2 linked regions of the Daphnia pulex genome follow. The protein of the gene in region 2 binds, or shares a complex with, the protein of the main gene of each other region. Links are inferred from orthologs where the notes say so. Each region holds a gene or a part of one and is shown on either strand. Other genes may lie near its edges.

What was found. The genes of interacting proteins can lie anywhere in the genome.
Region 1: the proteins of serrate RNA effector molecule homolog (region 2) and nuclear cap-binding protein subunit 2-like are in contact, whole or in part, in a cryo-EM structure (PDB 8PMP), measured with the Homo sapiens proteins. The link is inferred for Daphnia pulex from reciprocal best matches to the Homo sapiens genes SRRT and NCBP2. Residues at the interface, in NP_056992.4 of Homo sapiens: Asp857, Arg859, Ala860, Ile861, Val862, Glu863, Tyr864, Arg865, Ala869, Asp874; in NP_031388.2 of Homo sapiens: Ser48, Phe49, Tyr50, Thr51, Thr52, Glu53, Gln55, Lys67, Met71, Leu73, Met76, Lys77, Lys78, Thr79, Ala80, Tyr89, Asp107, Glu121.

The regions. Positions count from the first base shown.
Region 1 is NC_060026.1:16,275,480-16,280,383, forward strand, and holds nuclear cap-binding protein subunit 2-like, read left to right. Parts: upstream 1-2,426; 5' UTR 2,427-2,622; coding exon 2,623-2,661; intron 2,662-2,806; coding exon 2,807-2,893; intron 2,894-2,953; coding exon 2,954-3,048; intron 3,049-3,112; coding exon 3,113-3,251; intron 3,252-3,309; coding exon 3,310-3,408; 3' UTR 3,409-3,505; downstream 3,506-4,904. Other genes in the region: hsp70-binding protein 1-like, read right to left, coding at 880-948, 1,015-1,223, 1,283-1,438, 1,499-1,720, 1,785-2,070. UniProt on the Homo sapiens protein: Component of the cap-binding complex (CBC), which binds co-transcriptionally to the 5' cap of pre-mRNAs and is involved in various processes such as pre-mRNA splicing, translation regulation, nonsense-mediated mRNA decay, RNA-mediated gene silencing (RNAi) by microRNAs (miRNAs) and mRNA export.
Region 2 is NC_060024.1:616,885-623,359, forward strand, and holds the start of serrate RNA effector molecule homolog, read left to right. Parts: upstream 1-2,789; 5' UTR 2,790-2,947; exon of another isoform or gene 2,948-3,064; intron 3,065-3,210; 5' UTR 3,211-3,238; coding exon 3,239-3,375; intron 3,376-3,434; coding exon 3,435-3,596; intron 3,597-3,654; coding exon 3,655-3,777; intron 3,778-3,847; coding exon 3,848-4,018; intron 4,019-4,578; coding exon 4,579-4,645; intron 4,646-4,704; coding exon 4,705-4,884; intron 4,885-4,956; coding exon 4,957-5,104; intron 5,105-5,171; coding exon 5,172-5,494; intron 5,495-5,560; coding exon 5,561-5,701; intron 5,702-5,792; coding exon 5,793-6,305; intron 6,306-6,385; coding exon 6,386-6,475. Other genes in the region: eukaryotic translation initiation factor 3 subunit D-like, read left to right, coding at 435-479, 535-641, 701-843, 903-1,260; uncharacterized protein R102.4-like, read right to left, coding at 1,700-1,844, 1,952-2,157. UniProt on the Homo sapiens protein: Acts as a mediator between the cap-binding complex (CBC) and the primary microRNAs (miRNAs) processing machinery during cell proliferation.

The sequences.
Region 1 (4,904 bases), on a different chromosome or scaffold from region 2:
TTAACCGCAGGATTCCAGAAGTGGATCGGGTACGCCGACGTCAAATCAGTGCCCACCTACTTTTACGTGCAGAGAAGTCAACGTTTCTCCAAAGTCAACGTTTCCATCCCCTTTAATACGGCACTTGTCAACATCGGGAACGCTATTAATTTGACGACTGGGGTTTTCACCGCTCCTAGAGCTGGAACTTATTACTTTTCGTTCACAGGATTGGCCGAATTCCCAACATTTTCCTCTCTGCTCTATTTAGGCGTGGATTTGTATTTGAATGGAAATCTTATTGGAAGAGGTTTCGTTGAAGACCAAAACACCGTTGCAGGGCAATTCACTCCCGTGACGTTGCATTCGACGCTCAATCTATTACCTGGTGATCAAATCTGGTTGCAAATAGATTCCTTGTTGCCTCCGTTGATTGGCGACGGTACTGCAGCCCGTCGTAAAAGGCGAATGCTTCCGACAAAGGGAGTGATTTTATTCGACGATTATCGCCACTTTACTCATTTTACTGGATTGATGTTGGAGGAGGACATTTCACAATCGCTTTAATTTCTTTTCTTATTTTTAACTGATGCATTTAAAACAATTAAATTTTGCCTGTTACCTACAAACTTTTTCAGCAGAGACCTTCTTGTTAATACATATGTATTCTTTAGGATTGTAATGACCACAACAATCTTGAGGATCAATAGGATTGGTAGATTACGATAACAAAATTAGAGAACACCGTTCACGCTTCGATGGTTCACGAGAGAGTAAACAAACAAAAACGTAAAGATTATCAAAAGGACGTCGGTGTGTGTATTGCGCCTCCATATCATGAGCCTCTTTGTTTGCTTTTTAAATTCTCTTTCTATTGCCAGCAATCGAATGCCAATAACTTCACCTGTCTTCGACAATGTCTTCCTTGAAAATCACCGACAACAAAGTACGGCAATACTCGGCTTCCTCCTATCAAATGAAAATTCAAAGTTTAAAATTCGATTTCATTTTCAAGTATTGACTAATAATTATTACCAGACATTCGTCGCGATCTCCGATTAATTCGATGCGGTTGTCGAGAAATTCACGAAAGAGAAACTCTGATCTACGGCACTCCTCGATCGATGGGGGGTGGCTCTGGGTAAGTGCCAGCAAGGCGGCCAGTAGATGTTCGTGAGTCGAGTCGTGATCTCGTTGAAGCAGAGCCACAAACTGCTCCACAAATCCCATATTACATAAAGTATCTAGTAAACAGGGTATTGGTTAGAGTACAAATGGAGAAACTTATGAATGTGAATAAAACCTTTGAAGGATGGATTCTCATTGCATAAACAAGTCAACAAGAATGAAGCCTTGATTTTCAGTTTCCCGAGTGATGATTGCAGTGCTCTCAGTAAAGACGAGAAACCATCACAATGCACAAATGCATCCTGGGCTTCTGCACATTCTCTTGTCAAACCTATAATCAATCAATTGTTAACTGAATTCCCTTAGTGTGAGTTGTAAATCTGCTCATTACATGAAATGGCGTACAGGGCTTTGATTCTCGCCTCTTCACAGTCATCGTTTTCCAGCATTTTAAGCAAAATTGGCAATAGGTCTTCGTTGAGCACATGCTGTTGGCAGTATGGGTTGTTCTGGGTGAGGGTGCCAATCAACTGACAGCACCTCCAACGAACTCCATCGTGGGGAGAATTCAAACAGGGGATGAGGATGAAAAATCCTCCTATCTTGTGAAAGTCTGGAGAAACAAGCGAAACAAGTGTCAATGTTTTATTCAATCAATAAAAAAAGATATCTCATACCATTAGCCGTGTCCATGGAATCGGCAAAGTCAGTAATCATTTCCAATGCTTCCTCCATCTCCTGGGGATCTTCTTCAGGACTTTCGACTCGATCTGGATTGAGGATATTTAACGATTTTGATATTTCGGCTACAACGTCGACTGACAATCCTCTTAGAGCTTCTTCTAACCAGCGTCTCCTTTCTTCACTCATCGATGTGGTTGTGGTACGATCTTCAGCTGCGGTGCCTTCGATGGCAAATCTTAAAAGTCCTTGCATATCTCTTGGTTGTCGTGGGGGTTCCATTGTTTTGCTAAGGATCTCAACAACAACTTGTTATATATTTATGAAGAATAAGACGCAGTACGCAAGTTAAACCGTGAACGCATGGGGCAAGCAGACGTCAATGAAACTGTTTACTAGCAAAATCAAGAAGAGTCTGGAATAAAAAGAGCCATCTAGGCATGACTCGCATAACTTAAAAAATTTTGACATTTACAAAACAAACCTGTTAAGTTAATTAAGATTTGGATAAAATTCATTGAGATTTTAAAAAATTATTGAAAAAATCTGCGAAAGTGTGTCATATTTTTATTTGGTTTTTAATTGTAGTTTAACGCCGGAATGGGTTTCTAGCAAGTGACGTAACCTAGCGGCCGCCATAAGCATCTTTTCGAAAGTCACTCGCGTCAGGTTTGTTGTGTCAACGCACACTTTTTTTTAGAAAAAAACCACACCAATTTTAGTAATTTAAAACGCATAAAGTTTAGCCGGTTGATTGGCTGAATACAAGGACACTTAATTCGGAAGACACTGGGGTGAACGGTGTGATTGGTTCTCCCGAAATAATTCGTAGAAATGGCGGTTCCAAGCACATACCGAGACCAACATTTCAAAGTAAGCCTCATGAGTTGATAGCAGAATTGAAAATGTAACTTAATATACAGTTTTGAGGCAATTAATGTTTAAATGGAAATGCATACCTTAATAATTAAAAATATTTTGATATTTCAAGCCAAAATAACTGATTTCCATCTTTCAGGGTTCCCGGGTAGAGCAGGAGCGTCTGTTGAGTCAATCTTGCACCCTGTATGTTGGAAACTTGTCCTTTTACACAACTGAAGAACAGGTTAAATACTTCCAAGTCAACAATTGGTTCCATTTGATTTCATCTTTTCAAATATTTTAGATCCATGAATTGTTTGGGAAATGTGGCGATGTCAAGAGAATCATCATGGGATTGGACAAGTTTACTAGGACCCCTTGTGGATTTTGTTTTGTAGAGTAAGTCATTGCAACCAAATCCAATAACAAAATTGTGTTTAATTATTTCTAATTATCTTTCAAGGTTTTACCTGAGGAATGATTCAGAAAATGCCATCAGGTTTGTGAATGGGACAAGACTGGATGACAGAATTGTGAGAACTGACTGGGATGCTGGCTTCATTGAAGGAAGGCAATATGGCAGAGGCAAAACTGGAGGACAGGTCAGCATTTCGTCAGCTCAAACTTATTGTTCTCAACTAATGGATTTCTGTTTTGCAGGTGAGAGATGAATACCGAACTGACTTTGATGGTGGCAGAGGAGGATGGGGCAAAATGATTCAGCAGAAGGTGGCCACATCTGCTGCTGCTAACAATTGATAACATTTCTAAATACTGTATTCATTCATCTCTGTGTGTTTTTTTTTTTAACAAATGTCAACAAGTGTTATCCTCAATTAAAACAGACCATGCTGAATTGATTTCCTAAACAAAATCTTTTTTACCTGTGAAAGAAGACGTTTCTCGTCATGTTTCCATCTGCCAGTCCGGTTGGCCTGGATTTTATCGATCGAAAAGTGGGGACACTAGAATCTCTTGCCATGTGATCTGTCACTCCCAAAGCTTTTTCCTTTTCAAAGCGAAGCGGGTAGTTTCCCAGAAGAGCTTTTGCGGCCGCGTGATGCACGCCATCATCTACATGCAAAGAAATATTTGAATATTCAATTCCCAGTGGTCGTCTGCAACTTATAACGAATGTCACAATTGAATTTGTGTCAAATGTGAAGCTAATTCAATGATCATTGATCAATTAGATGATTTCCAAAATGGAAATGGTATCGATTTCTGATTGCTCGGTAGTTGTTTAGTTATTCCAAATTAAAACTAACTTATTTATCGTTCGAAGAAAGAATGTGCTTGACGTGACATTCAACGTGCATCTGAACTACCAGGAAAATTGTACTGAGTGAGTGTGTGTGTATCTGGTGTTGGCTGTTTGAATATTTCTGGGCGACGGCAATCGAGTTCTCTCCCACTGCTGCAGCCGCTGGAAGCATTCATGTCCGCGTGCCGATCCGCGTGCTCCGCCGTGAGGCTATAGCGGGACTGGTGCATGTTGGCTGGCTGCTGTACCCACCGCCCAGCACTACAGATGTTGCTTATTCAAATATTGACGTAAAACTCACGTGGAGCGACATGAACATTGCCCAGCACCTGTTGTATAATCTTCATCTTCCTCCTGGTGGCCATGCCAACAAAACGGGGCTGTTTCCCCCCCTGCGAATATCCGTTTATACATCATTTAATTCCCTCTGTTTGAAACTAGTGTAGGAGCAGGTATTGTGTCTGGCCGTTAAGTTATCGATTGGTTGGTATATTAGGTGTCGTTGACGGCCAACTGCGCATTTGGCGAAAACGATATCAAACGATACGAGTATTATAACGTCGTCTATTTATTTTTCAATTACACTTTGACAATGGCGTGAACGCCTTCAATGCCCGGCAACTTGTAGAAGGACAAAAGCAATTGGCTTTTCTTGATTTAGGACGGGCGTACGTAGTACAACTATAATATAATACGAAGCGGATGAAGCCAAATAATTGATTCCAGACGACGAAGACGTAATAGTAATAGAGCGACGAATGCGTCGCCCATTCTGGATATCAATCAACGACTTGTGACGCCGGTATGTAACACACACTGGATCGATATAATCGAAATGCGCATTGACATGGAATTATTCGCCGTATTGGTAAAATGTTGTTGTTTGGAATGATTTTGGCGAAGCGAAAGAATATCTAATAATAATGATATCGCTAACTGCTGGGCAATCTGATGGGCTAATAGGGTGCCCATATGCGCACGTGGCGAAATA
Region 2 (6,475 bases):
ATGCTGGATTATCACCCTATAATTCTTGAAACTACATTAGTTTCCAATGCCAGTGGATCGGCAAGGCTGAGACTTGCAAACTCATCAACATCTGGAAAATGAAATTTGCAAATTCCTACAAAGATCCTATGCTTCAGGTGATACTTAATTAATTTATGTCAACTTTCTTTATTGACACGACAGCAATGTTGGGTCATGTATGTTGACATATTGATATAGCTGATGTGATATTTCCACCAATCAACAATTTCTCATGAAACATTTTAATGGTATTAAAAAAGATCATGAATCAATGTGGAGGGAACCCTTATGATGCAGTGTCATTGGCTGAGAAATCGGCCCTTTATGCAACACAAATTCCATCTATTAAAAAAGCAACCATGGACGGATGTCAACATGAACTGGAGCTCTCAGATGATCCTTATGATACCAAGAGACTAAACACAGAGAACATTCCTTGTGTACTGACTTTGATGAAGGTTTGTAGGTTAAAACTTTGAATTTGAAATAAATAGTCTAATACTAAGTTTTCAGGAGGTGGTGTCCTGGTGGCACGTTGCGAACATGACGCTGTCACCGTTGGATCGGCTGGTGATAACCAATTTATCAACATCAAAGCTCTTAATGAATGGGACTCAAGGGTATGCATATTTACTGTTCGTAATGAAACTGTGTCTTTAAAATAATTTTGTACTTCAAGTTGTCTGGTGAAGTCGAATGGCGCCAGAAACTGGACACTCAGCGAGGTGCTGTTCAGGCCAACGAGCTGAAGAATAATGCATGCAAGCTAGCAAAATGGACTGTGCAAGCTCTGCTCGCCAACTCTGATTGGATTAAATTCGGGTATGTGAAGGCTCCTGTTGTCCTTCGAACATTATTGTAACTAATATTGTTTGCTTCAGATATGTTTCACGTATGCACTTACGAGATACATCGCGTCGTGTAATCCTTGGAACACAGCAGTTCCACCTGTCAGATTTCGCATCGCAAATCAACCTTAATATCGACAATGCTTGGGGCATTCTCCGTTGGATTAATGATTTGTGTATGAAGGAAGAGGATGGCAAATATTTGTTGGTGAAGGATCCTAACAAGCCCGTCATCCGCCTTTACAAGGTGCCCGATAACACGTTTGAGAGCGACGATGAAGCATTTTTCGGAGAAGGAGAAGGTTTGAAACCAATCAATATCGTAACGTGCGTGTGTAACTGCTGGCTTACTTTTATTGCTTGGGTGTTGGCCTCTCTTTTTTTTTACTAGCAAAGATTAAATAAACACGTCCAAGCAGTTAATCAAATTTCCCTACATTTGTACGCCGTGTTACGTTTTGCTTGAATTCGAAGCTCGAGCTTTGTATTTATGTATAATATCTAACCACTAGTGGAAGTGCTTGGCTTCTTGGGGGAAAAAAACCTAATTAGATATGCGACATGACTTAAGGTAGTTTTAAAAAAAGCGCTATAAAACGCATGATTTCATAACGACAACTACGAAATGGTAAATAACAATGTATTCATTTTTTACACATGAATAGAAGACGAGTAACGGCTGATAGAAACAAAAGAACAGCTCTTCCACTAATTCCCCAATCTACAACAATACTACGTTTGTAATGATCGTTACATGGAATAAAGCACTTATGAAGCTTCCAGTTTACTTATACAGCGTTACTTTGATTGATTTCATCAAAAACATACCCTTATTTGTCTTGAGCGAGATTGATGTCTTCAGGTGGGTTACTGCAGTGAACAACAATTATGATGTTCGTTTCAGTCATCGGGTAAGCAAGCCAACGAATATCTTGACCGATCCCGTGAACTTCCTTTTCAGTAGATTCAGCAAATCTTTTCACAATTGAATTAGGGGTAGCACCTGATATGGGCTCGACTTTTAGCATAACCATATTCGTCTCTACGGTATATCGATCAACTTCCACAACGCTTTTTCCAACCTCTTGCGCAGTAACAGCCAATTGACCAATTGTTTGGTGAAAATATGATCTTGAGCTACCCTGGTAGGTCCCTTTGAAAGTGACAAAATTCCGGCTGCGGCCAAAATACCCGCCTGCCGCATTCCTCCTCCAAGTGCTTTTCGACAACGATGAGCCTGAGTATGAGTGTTATTGAATACCTCCAGTTCATGTTGATATCCATCCATGGTTGATATTTTAATAGATGGAATTTATGTTGCATAAAGGGCCGATTTCACAGCAAATGACACTGCATCATAAGGGTTCTCTCCACATTCATGATCTATTTTAATGCCATTAAAATGATTCATGAGAAATTGTTGATTGGTGGAAAAATGAGAAATTGATGATTGGTGGAAATATTGACAAATTCCCCCCAAAAAACCTAAACCCCGTGAAAAAAACACCCTATCGGGAAACTCGCGCGCGAAGCAAGGGATCGGCATGTGTACACACTACGAACGGTGCGATGGTTTAGCCTAGCATGTGGCGCCACGACAATTTAATTTATCATTAGATCAATTAAAGCTATAATTAGGATTAAAATATAAAATTCATAACAAATACAAAATAAATAATAGAATGTAATAGCTAGTTGAATCTTGCTTTTGCCAATGGTGTTAATAAAAAAATCTTTAAGACTACTTTCTTACTAGGTACATTAGAAGTTTAATTCATAAATGATCCAATTATTAGAAAAAAACATTGGTGAAAATATATTTTTTTGTTATCTTATTAGTTATTACAAGAAATTAACTAGCTTAGCGCTTAGCGGCCTTAGCCTATGTCGCTTGTCAGTTGTCTCTCAGCCCAAGCCATGTTCTTCAGTTACTGATTATTCAAATCATAAGGCAGTAACAGTTTTACCCTGCAGGCGACAGCACTTGTATTCCTCAAACTTTCGTTGGCACCAACGGGCAACGGCGTTCTCAGTTTTCTTCTGATCGCGTGGCGAAATCAAACTAAACGCAAATTTGGGTAAAGTTCGAAGAAGATATGAAATTTATGAACATCAATAGTTTTATAGCGAGTTCTGTAACTTTGTGTGTGAAATTAAGTTTTTTATTTTACTTGCGTTGGTATTTGAGTATGCCGGTACATCGAATTGTTCTTATCAAAAATCATCTGCATTTTCGGCCATATTGCCACTTAGTTGGCAGTACTTTTACTTATTAGTTGATTAATTGATGCTTAATATTATAAAACATTAAACTAAAGTTTCCTCTTTTTTTTCTCCATAGCTTAAGAAGTAGGTCACCAACCTGTACCATGGGGGACAGTGATGATGATTATGATCGTCGCAGAAGGGATAAGTTTAGAGGAGAACGAAGTGAGTACCGGGGAGCTGGAGAATCTGGAAGGAGAGAAGAAAGAGGCAATCCTAGGAGAGAAGAGTGGAATGATAGGTTGGTTTGACAAATGCTCTGTTATTTTTAAGCTGTTTAGTCCAATGCATGTTTCAAAGTAGAGGCATCATGGAACCGAGAAGAGGTGAATCTTGGTCTCAAAGAGGGTCTCGTTCTCAACCACGTCACGAATATCGCGAATCTTACAGAGGTCGTGAAAGATACAGCCCAGCAGGTGGGTATGATGCACCACAAGCTCCAAAAAGGATGAGGCCTGACTGGTATGTTTTTCATACTAATATTATGCTGCCATTTATTAATCTTGTAAAATGGTTTTAGGGAAGACAGGCGCTATGGATTTGATGCTGGTTATGGGCCCAACATTGGCTCTTCATGGGGTCAGAATGAACCAGTCATTAATACTCCACCAAACGCTGGAAACTTTAGTGGATCTTCTTCAAGGTAATGTTTTTATGGTAATTGTTAGTTGTGTAGGGTTAATAATAATAATAAATAATGCCTGATTTTCCAGAGGGGAAGAATTTCCTACTCAACCACCAATGATGTCCTTTAAAGCTTTTCTGGCTGCCCACGATGATTCAATCTCTGACGAAGAAGCAGTTAAAAAGTATGCCGAGTACAAGCTAGAATTTCGTCGTCAGCAGCTGAATGAATTTTTCACAAGCCACAAGGATGAAGAGTGGTATGTTTTTGCTTGTTTTTTTTCTTGTTTTTACAAGTGTTAATATCAAATTTAATCAATATTTTAAGAATTTCTTATAAGTTTTCTTTTAAAGACTTGTGTGTTGTGTATTGCATTGAATTTTTCTGGTAACTAAATTATTTATAAGTTTTGCCGCGTGTAATCGGATTTCGGATAACCAATTTACATATATTTAATCCCCCCTGTTTTTCAGCCGATTGACATAGCTGCTATTGACGTCCCTCCGTTTATTTCAACCATCTCCGACCTTTCTATAAGGTGCCATACCATCTGTCAAAAGCTACTTGAAAATCAATTTTTTAACTGTGTGAACATGAAATGAACAGATCTCCAAAGTGTGCGTTAGAGTAGGGTTCAACTGCGCGCAATGCAGTGGTCAGTTAGTAGCTAGGTTATAAAAAATCCGTACCGGGAGAACAGGTGAGGGAAATCTTGGCCTCTTGAAAAGTGTGGTCCCTAGCTGGTTATTTTAATTCGAAGTTTTCAACATTAATTCTGTTACTAATTTGTTTTATTATATTTTCCTCGAACGAATGTAGGTTTAAGTTGAAATATCACCCGGAAGAGAATCAAAAACGGAAGAACGAGCATAAAGCTCATATTGAAGTAAGTTGTCTCTAATTTTGACAGATTCTGGTTGTAACTAATCAATTAATTCAATATAGTTACGCATGAAAACTATTTTGGATTTAATGGCTGAGGGTTCTTTTGATCAAGTGACTATCGATGCGGATCAGTCAGAAAAGCTAGTAAAACTTCTTGACACCGTGGTAATTAAACTCGAAGGTGGGAATGAGTTAGATCTTCAGGTCCTTGACAACCCTCCTCAACCAACCGCCGATAAGGTTTGTCTATTTAATTTCCTTTAATTGGTTATAACTGATTTTTTAAAAATCATTTCACTTTCATAATTGAAGCAGCCTATTAAAATCCAAGAGAAGGTTATCAAGGAGATTGAAGATAAAGAAAATGATGATTTGGGCGAAGGCGACGATGCTAAAGAAGATGGTGTGATCGAGGACTCCAAAATGGAAATTAGCTCTGACCCAAAAAGTCCTAATAACAGTAGGAATTCATTGTTATTAATTTTTGACGCACTGCCTTACCAGTATTTTTTATATTTATTTTATAGGTGGCAAAAGAAAACGAAGCGGATTTGAATCGGATAGTGGAAGCGACTGGGAGCGGGAAGGAAAGGAACAATCGGAAATATCTGAAGCTCCTCAAAGCCCTGATGGTAAGCCAGCTGGTGGTGAGGGTAGTCCTAGGGAAACCGAAGCAGCTGATGAAATTCCAGTAAAAGATGATGCCAAAGAAAAAGTTGATGAAGATGAAAGCAAGGAGGAAGAAAAAAAGGAAAATGGCGGGCCAGTTCTTCCCCGAGAATTGCATCGGACTGCCTCCATATTTCTCCGTAATTTGGCACCTACCATTACCAAACTGGAAGTCGAAGCGGTAATGAGAGTTTCTAATTTTTTTTGTTAGATTCAGTTTTCTAATCTTTAGCTTTGTTTAATGAAGATGTGCAAACGGTATCCTGGATTTTTACGTGCTGCTATTGCTGATCCTCAGCCAGAACGCAGATGGTTTCGCCGTGGTTGGGTGACGTTTGAGCGCAATGTTAACATCAAAGAGATTTGTTGGAATTTGAACAACATTCGAGTATGTTTCTATAAGTAACAATTAATTACTGTATGACTAATGGGTAATATTAACTGTTTTTTTTTTTTTTTTTTTTTTTTTAAATTTTTAGCTACGTGACACCGAATTGGGAGCCATTGTGAACCGGGATCTAAGTCGTCGCATCCGTACCGTTAGTGGCATAACATCGCATAAACAAGTTGTGAGGAACGACATTCGTTTAGCAGCCAAAATCATCCAAAACTTAGATGCACGTTTGGGACTATGGGCTGAGGAAGAGAATGATAAAGCTAAACATTCTTCGGTCGCTGATTCTACACTTACTTTCTCTGGCACCAGTCGCAACCCGGTTCTGAACAACATAACCGATTTTTTGATCGAAGAAGCTTCTGCTGAAGAGGAAGAGCTCTTGGGTGCCTCAGCTAATGAAGAAGGCGAAGAAGCTGAAGCAGCTGCAGGATTGACTAGAGACGACGAACTTATTAAAGTGCTGGATCGTCTGCTCTTCTACTTGCGTATTGTTCACTCGGTTGATTACTACAATCATTGCGAATATCCGAATGAAGATGAAATGCCGAACCGATGTGGCATTATGCATGCTCGTGGAATTCCTCCGTCATCCAAAGTAATATCGCCTGTGCGAAAGCATAAATTTAAAAAGAATGTTGTTTTTTTAGTTGAAACATGTATTTATTCGGAATGTAGGTTACCCAAAATGAAATCAATGACTATTGTCGATCTTTCGAGAATAAGATTGCATCATTTCTGGAGCCAATCAAACGGCTAAGTGATGAA